Linked DNA regions of Rhinolophus ferrumequinum. The protein of the gene in region 1 interacts with the protein of each later gene in a pairwise test. Links are inferred from orthologs where the notes say so. Each region holds a gene or a part of one and is shown in the gene's direction. Other genes may lie near its edges.

The links.
Region 2: the proteins of LPXN (region 1) and HOXC9 interact in binary tests that used the Homo sapiens proteins (3 or more experiments, as listed by UniProt). The two-hybrid records come from large-scale screens. The link is inferred for Rhinolophus ferrumequinum from reciprocal best matches to the Homo sapiens genes LPXN and HOXC9.

Annotation. Positions count from the first base shown.
Region 1 is NC_046294.1:10,983,859-10,991,012, forward strand, and holds the start of LPXN (leupaxin), read left to right. Parts: upstream 1-2,871; 5' UTR 2,872-2,997; coding exon 2,998-3,010; intron 3,011-6,404; coding exon 6,405-6,553; intron 6,554-7,154. UniProt on the Homo sapiens protein: Transcriptional coactivator for androgen receptor (AR) and serum response factor (SRF). Contributes to the regulation of cell adhesion, spreading and cell migration and acts as a negative regulator in integrin-mediated cell adhesion events.
Region 2 is NC_046293.1:53,785,486-53,792,639, forward strand, and holds the start of HOXC9 (homeobox protein Hox-C9), read left to right. Parts: upstream 1-2,368; 5' UTR 2,369-2,379; intron 2,380-3,973; 5' UTR 3,974-4,011; coding exon 4,012-4,549; intron 4,550-6,265; coding exon 6,266-6,510; 3' UTR 6,511-7,154. UniProt on the Homo sapiens protein: Sequence-specific transcription factor which is part of a developmental regulatory system that provides cells with specific positional identities on the anterior-posterior axis.

The DNA of each region.
Region 1 (7,154 bases):
TCCTTTAAGAAAAAAAGCCCCGTCCGCTGCCGGATGAAAGTCTCTTAAAAAAATGGCGGCAGTAGAACAGAGGCGGGGTCGTGAGGGCAAGGAGGACCCGCCTTTTCGGCGCATGCGCATGGTTAACTTGGCCAAAGGCATCTTGGGAGATGAAGTCCTACTTACCCTATGCTTTAGAAAAAAAGATAGGAAACCAGAGGAAAAGAGGATGCTGGGGAGTTTCTGACTGGTGCACGGTGGGGAAAGTAATTTAGTGTTTCCACTGGGTTTACTTTTCCATGGAGGGTGTGTTTCCGGGTTAGGGCGCGACGCCTGCGCAGACCCTTCCGCAAAAGTTGAGCCCGTTCCTGATCCGGTTTTCCTGGGAAGATTTTCCCTACTTTTTTATTTGTCGTTGGCGAAGCATGTATGGGGTGGTCATGTAACAGCCCTTACCTTGGTTTTGGTTACATGGCACCTCCTCTGGGGCTAGCATTCATATCAGCAATATTCGTCTCGTCATCCTGTGTCTGACCTACTAACCTGTAAGCCCCTGGAGGTCAGGGACAAAATGGTTCCGTCGAGTCCTGGGGGCCCTAGCAAAATTCCCACCACATTTGATTCTTAATAAAAGTTTGCGGAAAGAATTGTGGAGTTGCGTTTCTACCAGACATTGTCGAGACCACGGAGCTGGCGTTGGCTGCTTAAGTTGGCTGTGGTCCCTGGGCTGAAGGGAAGTTGTTAGTATGACCGGAGTCACCAACCCGGAGAAAACTGAACGCCTCCCTCCCCGCCCCTCCCTCCCCTCCCTCCCCTCCCTCACCTCCCCTCCCTCACGCTCCCAGCTCAGAAGCCACCTGGTTCTACGGTTTTTAAATGTTTCTGCTGCACAGGAAGCAAGGCCAGATTAGCAGCTTTGTCAGAATTTCTCTTACGTCCACTAGCGTGTGCAACTAAATCGTCCTAAAGCGTTAAACGGGAGTTTCCATTTGCTTATTTACAAGTTGGCATTTGGTGATGGCAGTGGGCCTCTCACATTCTTTCCTTTCTTCCTTTCATCCATTATAATCAAGGAGTGATTCGCAGAACCAGTTTCTTACCCCTGGAAAATAAAGTATCCGGAGGTAAAATGCCTTCAAGAAAGCGGATGGAAACAAGATCTGGGGATCCAATTCTGAATTTCACATTAATCATTCAGTTAAACTGCAGACACAGTCCAATATTTGCAAGCCAAGTACTGAAGTGCATTTTTCCTTCCAGTGTCTTGGCTAAGTTACCACTTCAGATTAGGCAAATGTTTTCTATTTTCTATTGAGTGTTTTTGCACTTTCATGGGGCTAATGGCATTTCAATTGTAAAAACTGGCGCAGTGTGGATAGGAATTTTTTCAAACTCATGTTTGCAGTGAGCAGACTTTTGGAACAGCACTGACATCCAATGGCTGCTCAAAGTAATGCAGAGTGGGAATCTCCATTAAAGTCTTTTTATTACATTTATTGGGGTGACAATGGTTAGTAAAATTACATAGGTTTCAAAGGTACATCTGTATAATACATCATTTATATATTACATTGTGTGTTCACCCCAAATCAGTTCTTCTTCCATCACCATATATTTGACCCCCTTCACCCTCTGGTAACCACTGAACTGTTGTCTGTGTCTATGAATTTTTGTTTGTTTGTTTATTCCTTTGTTGCTTTCAGTTTTATATACCACATATGAGTGAAGTCATATGGTTCTCGATTTTTTCTGACTTATTTCGCTTAGCATAATCTCAAGATCCATCCATGTTGTGGAAAATGGCAGTATTTCATCTTTTCTTATGGCAGAATAGTATTCCATTGTGTATATGTACCACATCTTCTTTATCCAATCATTTATTGAAGGACACTTTGTTTTTTTCCATGTCTTGGCCACAGTAAATAATATCTTAGGAGTCACTAGGGAATAGAGAATGAGTGGATTCCTTTAGATCACCTAAAAAAAGAAAGACGATTGTGTTGTAAAGTTCACAGGCTTTGAAGTTAAATGTGGATTTAGTAGTAGCAAAGCTACCTATTAATTCTATTTAGCAAGTTACTGCTCCTTGAATCTATTTCACCACTGGTAAAAATGGGGATATCTATTTCATGGGGCCATAATTATAGTTCTTTACATACTGCCTTCCCATAGTAGGCCTTCGAAAATGTTTTATTTCATTCAAGGTGAGTAAAAATAAGTGGTTTAAATAAAGGTGAAAGTTAACCCCAGCATCACTTTTCAGAAAACTGCTATAAAGCAATGTAGCTAGGCAGGAATTATGCTTAATTGGGATGTCAGCAGCTTAGCACCTGGTGTCCTAAATCTTCCAGTTTCATTCTTTATGACCCCTATAGTTATTTGCCTTTTGGACCACTGAAATAAACCAGGCCTGGAGAATTCAAATGTGAATATGTCTCTGCCACATTTAATGGATTTACAATCTATTCAAGAAATCAGGTAAACATAATTTCTGAATAAGTAAATAAAGACAGCAAAATGAATTGGGTGCTAGTTAACTCTGATGGAAATCTTATGAAGGAGACTATGCTTCCATGATCCCCCAGCGTCACAGAAAAAAAAACACAGCAGACTCCCTGATGTACAGTCACAGTGGGATACCCACAGTAGGAAAAAACACAAGTGTAAGTCTGCCATTTCCATGAATTCAAAATAAATTCTGGCACATAGTCAGTGCTCAAATTTTTCAAAATTAATTTTGAATCTTCATCACCCTGGCCAATGCACCACCAGAACTCCAATTTTAGTACCCGTCTTTCTATGTCAGTCTCATTTTTAAAACTTTGACCTACAAAAAAGAAAAAAAAAAAACCTCACCAAATCAAAAGAGAGGAAGTGCTAAGCAAATACAGGAACCAAAAATGGTTATAGAGGCTGCTTCACACTGTCTCGTTCAGTTCCTTTGCGGTCCTCTTCTTCAGCACATGCCAAAGCAGTTCCTCACAACCTGTGGGACCAGAGCATCTTTGGTGTGTGACAATGGAAGAGTTGGGTGAGTGAGGAGCTTCTTGGAGGAGAAACTCTGAGAGAATAAAGACTTGGCTACCATCTCCATGTGTGGTGGGGTGTACTAATAGCTAGATGGAGGGTAGTGCCGGAAGATTTCATTTTCACTTCTCTCCTGACCTCAGCCCAAACAAGAAAGAAGCATAAGGAACTACTATTGTTTGGGGAAAATACGGGTTCACTGTTTTCAGTGGCACAAAAGACGGAGAGTTTGGTGCTAACCACAGAGTAAACTCCGTTACAAATACTTTTGGATTGAATTGTAATTGAAGTTGTCATTTTATTATGAGCATTTGCTCTTTGGGGGCTAGTGGAGATTGTAGGGTGATCCACAGTTGACAACTGCAGAGATGATTTGAGGGAAAAAAGAAAGAAAAGGGTGTTATGAGGAGAAGACATAGTACAAGAATGAGGGATTCACAAAGGTTGGAGGAAGGCCAGGGTGGTTTCATTTGCTTCAAGATCTAGTATTAAATCAAGAAGACAGCACTCCAGTGATTTTGTTGCTAAGCTATTTATTCAGAGGAACTCTGAAAGAACAGATTACTATGGCCTGCAAATATGACACCACTTTCCATTCCAAAGCAATTAAAACTAGCAGTGAAACTATTGGCCACATTGCTCGAGAGAGATCCCTGATTTCAAAATTTGGAGTAATGAAAGGTTTGTCATTTTTAGGACTTGTTCCATATCCTTTGCCAACTTTTGTTGCTGGCTACCATGCTAACACTGAGTCACTAACCCAATTTCCAAGCTGTATTAATTCCACAGTGTCCTCGGTTTGGGTATATTTGAGGTATATCAAAAGTGTAAATAACAATGACAAAAAAGCGTATCTAGCATATTGTCTTTTTAAAAAATTGTTTTGAGTATAATTTGAGAGCTGAAGGAATATAGGAAGGAAGGCAAATTACAAGAAGAAAGAGGAAAAGGTGGTGTTTGATAAATACGTATTGAACTGTTTCGGAGGTAAAGTCTGTTTTGATACTTGGGGTAGAATATATTTTGGACTCTGGGGAGAATTCAAATTCTTATCCTGTGTGAGGGCTGGGGAATTGCACATTTCTACCTGAGATCTACTAGAGTCCAGCTCTGCTTTTTATTTTAGGGATTCCTAATGGCTTTCATGTAGGTAATTCAAAAAGGAACTAATACTTATTCAGTGACTTAAGCTAAAATTAGACATTTTTACATATGTTAATCAAGTTAGTATCTGACGCAAGCCTCTAAAATGGGTATGGTCCACTTTTTTTTTTTTTTTCCTCAAATGAGAAAACTAAGGAAAGCAAACATCACTCTCTTAGAAAACTAAGGAGAGTTAAGCATCACTGTCAGGACCACCTGACACAACAGAGTAAGCTACAAGGTATTCTCATTTTAGAAGTGTGTTGGCTCAGGTACTTCAGACGACAGAATAAGATAGATAGATAGATAGATAGATAGATAGATAGATAGATAGATAGATAGATATTTACACAGTTTCGCGTTTTCTGAGCAGGATGAATGGTAGAGAAATCTGGTCAGAAATGTAGAAAGTACCAAGCAGCCTGGAAGGTCACACATTTCCTGTAGCTGATTCAGATGACTAAACCTCAACTACTTTTTCAAATTGTCATCAGCCCACTTAGGGTGAGTCTGTCTTCCTGCTGTGGAGAAACAGTGTGGAGGACAGGCCGATATTTCTTCTCTGCTTCATTACAAGGGCATGCTAGATAAGGGGAAACCAGGAGCAGACTCTGCTCTAAATGAGATCATTACAACCCACTGAAACCTCCAAGAGACCTCACCTTACTCCTTTCACATTAATACTGATAATTATTTGATTTCTACAGATGAAGGGCTACAGAGAAGGATTGTAGAGATTTCAGGCTAGTATTCCCCCCCAACCAGTCATCCTGTTATTTGTCATACTGAAATTAGTCATTTTCAAATTACGGAATCTGGCAAAAGGCAAGATAATCTTGGGCTGTTGGGGATATGTGCACTCAAGAAACAGGAAGAGAAAGGCCTGTTAACTCATGACCCAGATGGGAGAGTTCCAGTAACTTCGACTAGCAGGTGCTTCTAAGGGCAACCATCTACTCTTCTACTCTACGTGAGAGTGGGGACTGGAATTTCTGACTTGAAGTTAATGCAGGGCCTGGGAGCCAGATAGCCAGTTTCTGCATTCAACAGCCGTGTGACCTCTCTTTCTCGATCTACAAAATAAGGATAATAATATCACCTGCCTCAAAGACTTAGGATGAGTAAATTAAATATATAAATTCCTGACCTAGTGCCTGATGTGTTAATTTTACTAGTTATTATTAATTTCACCATAACAGAAAGGTAATAATGTAATACTTGTAAAGTCCATTGGTTTTTCTCAAGAAGATACAGGAGAAGCAATCTCAACAATTTGGATTGCAACATCTTGCTTAATTTTGTAACATCTGTTTTTTCTCCATCTCCCTTTCTCCCCACACCCTAAAAGACAGACCACTCATCTTTGCTTTGATAATTTTGTTATGTGCTTGGAATATAAGAAAAAAAATCATCAGGCTTAAGAATAAATGTTACTATCCTGGAATATATTGTTACTATCCTGGAAAAACTGTAATATAATTGCCTATATTTTTCTGAAAGAAAAAATATGTAAGATTTACTTTTTTCCTCATTGGGGATTTTTATGGGTAATCCACCCCCAAATGAATGATAAAAATTAATATCTTTTGTTGTTTTCAGCTTATATACTGCATATCAGTGAAATCCTATGGTTCTCTACTTTTTCCGTCTGACTTATTTCACTTAGCATTATAATCTCAAGATCCATCCATGTTGTCACAAATGGTCCTATTTCATCTTTTCTTACCGCCGAATAGTATTCCATTGTGTATATATACCACAACTTCTTTATCCATTCATCTATCGAAGGACATTTCGGTTGTACAAAAACTCATAGACGCAGACGATAGTTTAGTGGTTACCAGAAGGTAAGAAGGAAGGGGAGTGGTAGATGAGGGTAAAGGGGATCAAACATATGGTGATGGAAGGAAAACTGACTCTGGGTGGTGAACACACAATGGGATTTATAGATGATGTACTACAGAATTGTACAGCTGAAATCTATGTAACTTGACTAATAATTGTCACCCCAATAAACTTTAATTAAAAAAATTATTATCTTGCAATAAAAGAAGTCAAATTATCAAGTGAGCATATGAAACCTTAGGAAATAAGAAACAGGTCACAGCATTTGAGTAAGGGAAGATGTTTGAAAATAGCCTTTCTGCAAGAGAAGAGGGAGATGAATGGAGGTACAATGGGGCTATTTAAGGGGAAAATTATTCCAGAAGACTTACACATTCTATATCATGATTCTTTTGTGTCTTGTGATATAGATGCTTTATTGGAGGAACTGGAAAGCTCCACCCTCCAGGACAGCAGTGAATACTCCAGCCCAGCTCCTCTCCCCGTGGGTCAGTGTTCCAGAAAGGAGAGTAACTGTGCTGAGACCCTTTCCATTCAGGATGACACAAGCCCTTTGCCGGTAACTTTTGATCTACTGGAGTGCTTTTAACATAGATGTTTGCATGCATTTATGACAATGAATTGTAGCTCACAAAAAATGATGTGAAAGGACAATCATATATCCAAGAAAGAACCACAACAAAAATCCCGCAGTGATCACTTAAAGGTGGTTATTTTGGAAAGGGGAGGAGACTTAAGAAAATCATCCTAGAAAAATAAGCCTTTGAGAACGATTTTTTTTTCCTAATGAGGGCATAGTAATAGAGTATTCCCTAATTCACATGGGATATTCTGATATTACTGTCAATAAGGCCAGAGATCACCTGGGCAAGGCCAGGTGGCAGCTCAGACAAGTCTTTTCGGGGTAACGTGTTAGGGTCACCACTTTGCAAGTCTTCTTTGCTGCTTAATATATTAAGAAATTCAATTATTAGTATACCCAGAGATGAGGAAGCTCTAGGAAACCAACACAAACAAACGAAACTCAGAAAAGAGGATGTATGAAAACACCAGAAATCCAACTTATTAATTTCTGGTTAGAGTTAAAAACCACCAAGTAGAACAGATGCTAGTTATTTGCTGATATATGTATCCCATTCCTATGGATAAGTCTACTTTAT
Region 2 (7,154 bases), on another chromosome or scaffold:
GTTTTAAATTTAATCCGAACTTGACGGTGTGGATTGAACCGAAGGGAATTTAAATCACTAAAAAGGAGGCGCGGGGCAAGGGGAGGGGATGACTGTAACCTGTCAGTCTTTCTGTCTGTCCTTCCCATGGTGGTGCTAGCTTGGTTATGGTCACAGCTGCCCAGGTTTGAGGTGATGGAGTAAGGGTGTTCCTCTCCTTTAGGGGGCTCTCCTGTGCCCAGTGAAATCTTTTGGGGGTGGAGGGGAGTTCTAAAAACCAGAGTAAATGCAGAGCGGCTAGCTAAAACTGGGGCTCCCCCCTCCCTAACAGGGACTCCCAGTGGCCTCTAGTCTCTCCGGTTTTCCCAATCCTCGCTGAGGAAAATTGAAGGCAGTGGTGGGGCTGAGAGGGAGTCTTGGAATCTGGCAGGAGAGTCAGCAGGAGTAACTGAACCTGGGAAGACAAGGTGTACCTTGGTGCCTCCACATCCCTGTGCGTCCACATCCGTGCGCCCCCATACCTACAGGTCTGGATCTGGGGGAGCCTGAAGGTCTGCTGCAGAGTCCTGACCTGTTACCCCACCTCCACATGCAGAGAAGGGGGTACAAGCCACATGTAGTTGTGGAACCCCAGGAACCTTGGCCTGCTGAACTCAGGGGCTCCCAGCCTCTTCTAGCCCCCCTCCCCAAGGCTGCCTCTCTCAGCAAGGCCTTGGCAAAATGGGGCATGGGTGGGGAGGGGATTGTGGGCGAGGCCTACCTCCTGATCCACAGCTGTGCCTGTGCTGGGGTGGGGAGGGTCTGAGTTCACCCTCTGAAACGAAGGTGACAATCTCCCCTCAGTTTCACGGAGAATTTGATGGCAGCAGGGAGTGTGGGCTGAGTGATGCTGGCTGCCCTGCTCCTGTTGCCTCTGCTGGGTGGGCAGACCGAGTGGGCAGGCTGCTCAAGAGTTGAAAAGAAGGCAGTGACCAAAGGAGAGAAAGGGGCATCTCTTTACAGTCACTGTGTCTGAGGAGCTCTCCCAAATAGTAGAGGCCCATAGAAGAGGGTCTTTAAGGGGTATCTTTCTTCTAGGAAAACTATGACTGGGGCAGATGGGCCCTGTTGCCTGGTGAAGACGTAAAAGTGGAGCAGGACATAAAACCTTCTCCTTCAGTCATGTCTTCTTTGCTCTTTGACTAGAGCGCGGCTCAGTCCCAAGCTGCTGGGTGGCTGCCTGGGCTGAGATGGGGTTCTACATCCCTGAGGCCTAGTGTACCCACAGGAGCAGGTTGCCCGGGAGGGGCAAGAGAGGAGGCCTCTTCCTCCTTTGTGTCCGGACAGAAGTGGCCGCTGCGCCTGAGCCGGTCCCCGGCAAAGGCCCAGCAAGCAGCGGACTGCACAATGCCACGGCTGCTCCGCCAGCTCTCACCCTACCCCATCCTGCCTGCCTATCACCGCCCTTCCTCCAGCTCCTCTCTGCATGCTTTCCTTCCCCTGCTCTCCTATCTCTTTTCATCTTGCCTCCCCTCTTTTCTTTAACTCTCCCCTCTCCTTTTTATCCTAATCCTCCATTTCTTTCCTCCCTCCCTTCCTTCCTTCCTTCCTTCCTTCCTTCCTTCCTTCCTTCCTTCCTTCCTTCCTTCCTTCTTTCCTTCCTTTCTTCCCTCTATGGGCCTGGCGCCGTGTTTCAGTTGTTCTATCTCAGGCTGTCTCGGGCTCAGTCTCTCTCAGGCTCTGTCCCCTGATGTCCTCTTGGTTGCAGTCTGCCCCAGGCCTGTCAAAGAGCTGGGCAGGGTCCCCAGCCAGCGGTGCTGAAGGTGCTGGGGATTTGGAGAAAGCCTCGGCAGGGGAACGGGAACCTCCTGTCTTTTCCTTGAACTAGTGAGGGAGAATTTTTGATTGACAGCTAACCCGACTCCATCAAGGCCAAAGAGAAATTCTGTTTCTTGCTGTAATTTGGATTTTACAGACCAGTCCAGTCTAGGAGAAGGGAAGATAATCGGAGCCGAGGGTGAGGAGGCTGAGGCCCCGCGTCTCCTTTCCTCAGCCAGGCACTTCTCACATCCCTCAGTATGTCGAAATCCCAGCCCCGCTTGACCGAAAAGGAAAGAACTAGAGAGGGGGAGGAGCAGGGACTGGGGAGGGGTCCTGGAAAGCTGGGGTCAGTGCTGCGGGCTTCAGATCTACCCTTCCCCCCCTCAACTTTCCACCCTCACACACACATACTACACTCTCTGGGACACCTCTCTCTAGCCCTTCTCCACCCCTGAAGAGATAGGTCCACATGGGTGCAGGAGAAAACCAGCCTGGGTTCCTACCCTTGTCGTTTGGTCCCCTTCTGGGGACAGGAGTGGGAAAAAAGGGCAGGCATCTCGGGTCTGGGAAGCCTCATCCTTCCCTGCTGCCTCAGAGCCTGTCTCAGTCTCAGCTCCTGCTTGTTTCCTCTAGTGCAAACTGGGATTCTTCCTTTCTGACCCTGAAATTGCACCCCTCCTTCAAACTCACTCTGCTATGCCTAGGATGCATCTGCCTCTAGGGACATCACCTGCCCTCCCCTTCACCCTTCCAGCCAACCTCCCTGCCCCCTCTCTTGCACCCACACTGAGAATTTCCTGCTTGCCTAAAGCTCACCTTTCCTAAACCACCATGGGACAGTCTGAGGGAAAGCAGAGGGCTGGGCACAGAACCCCAAATTCAAGAAGGAGGGTAGCAACCAACTTATTGGGGGAGGAATCCAAATTGTCTGATCTTCCCTACAATCACACTGCTGCTCCAGAATTCTTGTATCCGACCCCAAAGAAACTGCTTTCTCCCATCCCTCAGTTGCTTTTTTCCCCGTTCCAAAAACAGCCTACAATTTTATTTAATGAAAGACACATTTATGAACAATCAAATGATCCTCATAAAAATTTTATTGAAGGACGTAAAAACAAGCTACTTGCCCACGACCGAGGTCGCTCTCTTGCCTTGCCCGCTTTCACCCTGGCTCTCTGCAGACTGAACCCAGGGGTGACTTCTTTTTTGGGGGGGCAGTGTCGCAGAGATGGAGTTGGGGCCAAAAGAGGGTGAGCAGGAAGATGGGATGGGGTGCCCCACTTAAGTTGTGTAGATATCTCCTCCACTTCTTCAAGCTGGCAAAGAAAGATAGATAGACAATAAATTTAAAATAAAGACGCTTGACTATCTGTGCCAAAGCAAAGAGAAGACTTCTGATGATAAAGGTGTGTGAGGTCCAGAGGTCCTACCCCTCCCACCCGCGGACCACCTTCCCTAAGCTTCTCCTACCCCAGATTTGGGGGGCTGAATTGGCCAGTGGCAGAAGGACTCTCCCCTTTTCCTCATTCCCTCCCTCCACCTCACAGCTTCCCCAGTCCCCTCCCACTCTCCCTCCCTCACTGCTGCTGCTGCTCCGGAAAGAAATACATACATACACACTATTTAAAAACGCATTTTTAAAAGCCACGTTCCGAACTGACAATCGCTGATCTCGGCTCGCGCAGAGACTGCGGGAGCGTTGGGGCCGACAGAGACGGATTACGTCAAGAAATAGTTCCTCCACCTACCTCGGCGGCCTCTGCACCCCTGCGGGGCTCCCGCGCCCAGCTCAGCCCTGGGGGTCCGGGAACCCTGGCTTCGGGGACTGGCATTTTCACCCCATTAAGAAATCCTCCTGGGGTTGGGGGCGGGAGTCCATCTGCTTATGGTGGACAGGGGCAAGGGGGTTCTCTGATGAGATACGAGTTGTCTTGAGGGGGTGGCCGATGCCTTGGGTCCAGAGTTCTGGACCCCCAGGAAAACGCAGGTCGCGGGGATCAGCAGAGAAGGGGGTGGGAGAAGGGGGGGTGGAAAGGAAGAAAAAAAAAAAAGCCCCTGCGCATTGATCCGCGCCGTATTTTTGGGTAAATACGATCACGTGGGGGCCGGGGAGCCAATGAGCTGCGGGGAAAAGGCTGGAAAAATAATTACCTGCCTTGATTGTTCTGTGAGCAGATAAAAAGTACATATACAGTTCATACAATAATCTTATGTATGTAAAACCCCGTTACGATGTCGGCGACGGGGCCCATCAGTAACTATTACGTGGACTCGCTCATCTCTCACGACAATGAAGACCTCCTAGCGTCCAGGTTTCCGGCCACCGGGGCTCACCCCGCCGCCGCCAGACCCAGCGGCTTGGTGCCGGACTGTAGCGATTTTCCGTCCTGTAGCTTCGCGCCCAAGCCGGCCGTGTTCAGCACGTCGTGGGCACCCGTGCCCTCGCAGTCGTCCGTGGTGTACCACCCGTACGGCCCCCAGCCCCACCTCGGCGCCGACACGCGCTACATGCGGACTTGGCTCGAGCCGCTGTCCGGCGCCGTCTCCTTCCCCAGCTTCCCGGCCGGGGGTCGTCACTACGCCCTCAAGCCGGACGCCTACCCCGGGCGCCGCGCCGACTGCGGCCCGGGAGACGGCCGCAGCTACCCGGACTACATGTACGGCTCGCCCGGGGAGCTGCGCGACCGCGCCCCGCAGACCCTGCCCTCGCCCGAGGCGGACGCCCTCGCCGGCAGCAAGCACAAAGAGGAGAAGGCCGACCTGGACCCCAGTAAGTTGGGAGCAATTTTCCTTTACAACCAGCGCGGGAGGGGAGGGGAGGCCAGGCGGGGGGAGCCAGATTACAGCCCCTCGGAGCGGCGCAGGGAGCGCGGGAGAGGGGCGAGGGCGAGGGGGCGAGGACTCAATAAAAGCGAATTACCTTGGGGAGCTTTTAGGGGCAGGAAGGTCTGAGAAGGGGGCCCAAGGAGCCAGGTTGGGAGAGGGCTGAAGGGGCTCCTCTCCCAGGAGCTGGCTTTGATAAGAGACCCCCGCCCCCACATCCCCAGCCCAGGCTTTTGGCTCAGTCGCTACTTTCGAAGAAATGCAGAAATGCAGACAGGGCCAGGGATTGGGGTGGGGGCGAGGTTCATTTTATGGTTTGAGGTGGGATGGAGTAGAGATGAGGAGGACACTGGGGGCAGAGAGGAGATACCCCAGGGAGAAAAATCCCCACTACCTCCCAGCTAGCATGGGGCTCCTCACCCCACTAGAGATTCATAAGACAGGAGGTCCATGGACTTCTTTCCCAGGAGCACTGAGTGAAGGGTCTGGGGGATTTCACAGCCTAGGAACTTGGAGAGATCAGGACCTCCAGAGTTGGGGGAGAGAAGTGGGGTCCCAGTCTCTTTAAACTTGAAAGCCCTTTTTTGAGGGTCTGCAGGCGAGAGGGTTGAGAATGGAGGTTCAGGGCTGAGGAATGGGGAGAGACATCTCCCCAGATTAGAGAACTACACACACACACACACACACACACACACACTCCAATCAGGGAGCTGAGAGCCTTCTAAGTGTTGCAGAGAAGAGCAGGGGTAGTTGGGGGGGGCAGGTGGGAGCTGCAGGGCCAGAGAAAGGAGAAAGAAGGGAAACAGCAGGGGAGGGGGCGCAGCCCCCTGGGTGTGAGGAAGTGTCTGGGGGAGTCCCAGGAGGGGGCTCCAGGAAATCCTTTCCTCCAGCCCCATAAGGGGCCAGGGCCTAATTATACCTCTCTGAGCCTTCCCTCCTTGCCCTCAGCTACTCCCATAAACCTGAAATTGGAGGCTTGACTCCTGCAGAGCCTGTCCTGGGGCTGGCAGGAGGGGGGCACTGGAAGCCAAACAGGGAAGCTAAGATATAGGGGGGCCTGTTCCCAAGGCCAGCAGCTCTCTAGGGAGAGGAAAAAGGCTTTTCCCCAGCCCAGCATCACCCTGAGAATTCGCCTCAGCAGGGTTGAACTCATACAGCGGAGACAGGCACTGGAGAGGGTAGTGACGGGCTTAGGTACTCTCACGGTCAGGAAGCAGAACTGCTGAAATTTCAGGACTTGGTTGTGGGCTGGGAGGATGGGAGGGGGCAAAGGAGGAGGGAAGTGGGGAGGAGAGAGACCTCGCTATAAAAATAAAAAACAAGAGAGAGAAGCGTTTATGGGCCTATGAAACGGTCGGGAATTTGGACTTTTTATGAGGATATTCTCGAATTACTACTCTTGAAGCTGAGGACCAGACTGTAGGGTCTTTGATAGCTTCGATTTCCTATAGTTTTAGGTGCTGGAAACTGAAGGGGGGAGGATGGGGAGGGGGCAGAACGCAAAAGGAGTGTGTGTTTAGGGAAAATTCCTAAAGCAAAACGTGTCCAAATTCAGGTTCAATTATTGGGTTTGGGGATCCTGGCTAAGCCTGGGGGATGGGGTGGCTGGGATCCTGGGCTGGAAAGGGGCTCCACTGACCTCTGCTTGTGTCTGGCCCTCCAGGCAACCCCGTGGCCAACTGGATCCACGCCCGCTCCACAAGGAAGAAGCGCTGCCCCTACACTAAGTACCAGACGCTGGAACTGGAGAAGGAGTTTCTCTTCAATATGTATTTAACCAGGGACCGTCGGTATGAGGTGGCCCGGGTTCTCAACCTCACCGAGCGGCAGGTCAAAATCTGGTTTCAGAACCGGAGGATGAAGATGAAAAAGATGAATAAAGAGAAAACCGACAAGGAGCAATCCTAAACCCTGCCCCGGCCTGCTGCCTCGGCACAGCCAAGGGATAAACAAAAAACCCCACAAAAACCCTAACCCAGGCGGGAGAGAGCACGAAAAAGAAAAGGAAAAAGCAAGATAGAGAAAAGCCAATCAGCTTAAAAAGGAAAAAAAGGAAGGGGAAAAAGAAAACTCTTGCGATTTGGGAGGGTTCAGTGTTGAGAAATTGGTGTTTTAGAGTTAGTTCTACCCATCGAGGAGCAGGAGGCGGGGAGAGAAGCCGTGTTCTCTTCTCCCAGCGCAACTGAAATAAATGACACACACAAATGTGATTTTTCCCCTCCTTTCTTCAGAGAAGCCAGTACTTGAATCGCTATATTTCTGATTTTTTTTCCTGTGTTTTATTTGGTCCGGGCCATCCCTCCCCAGGCCTGGGGTGCTCTGCGTGCAGATTTTGTACAAAAAAGACACACACACATACACAATAACGATTCCCAGCCCAGGAGCTGAGGGGCGAGGGCCGGACGGCGCAGGCTGGGTCCGTTGGCGCAGGCCGGCGCCTCGGGTGTGTACATAGCAGTGTTTCCTCTCATCCCCAGCGTCCGTCCTGTAATGTGCTTCTGTTTGTTATGGTAGAACAGCTCTGTGTTAATATATCGAAGTCACTTAAAAAA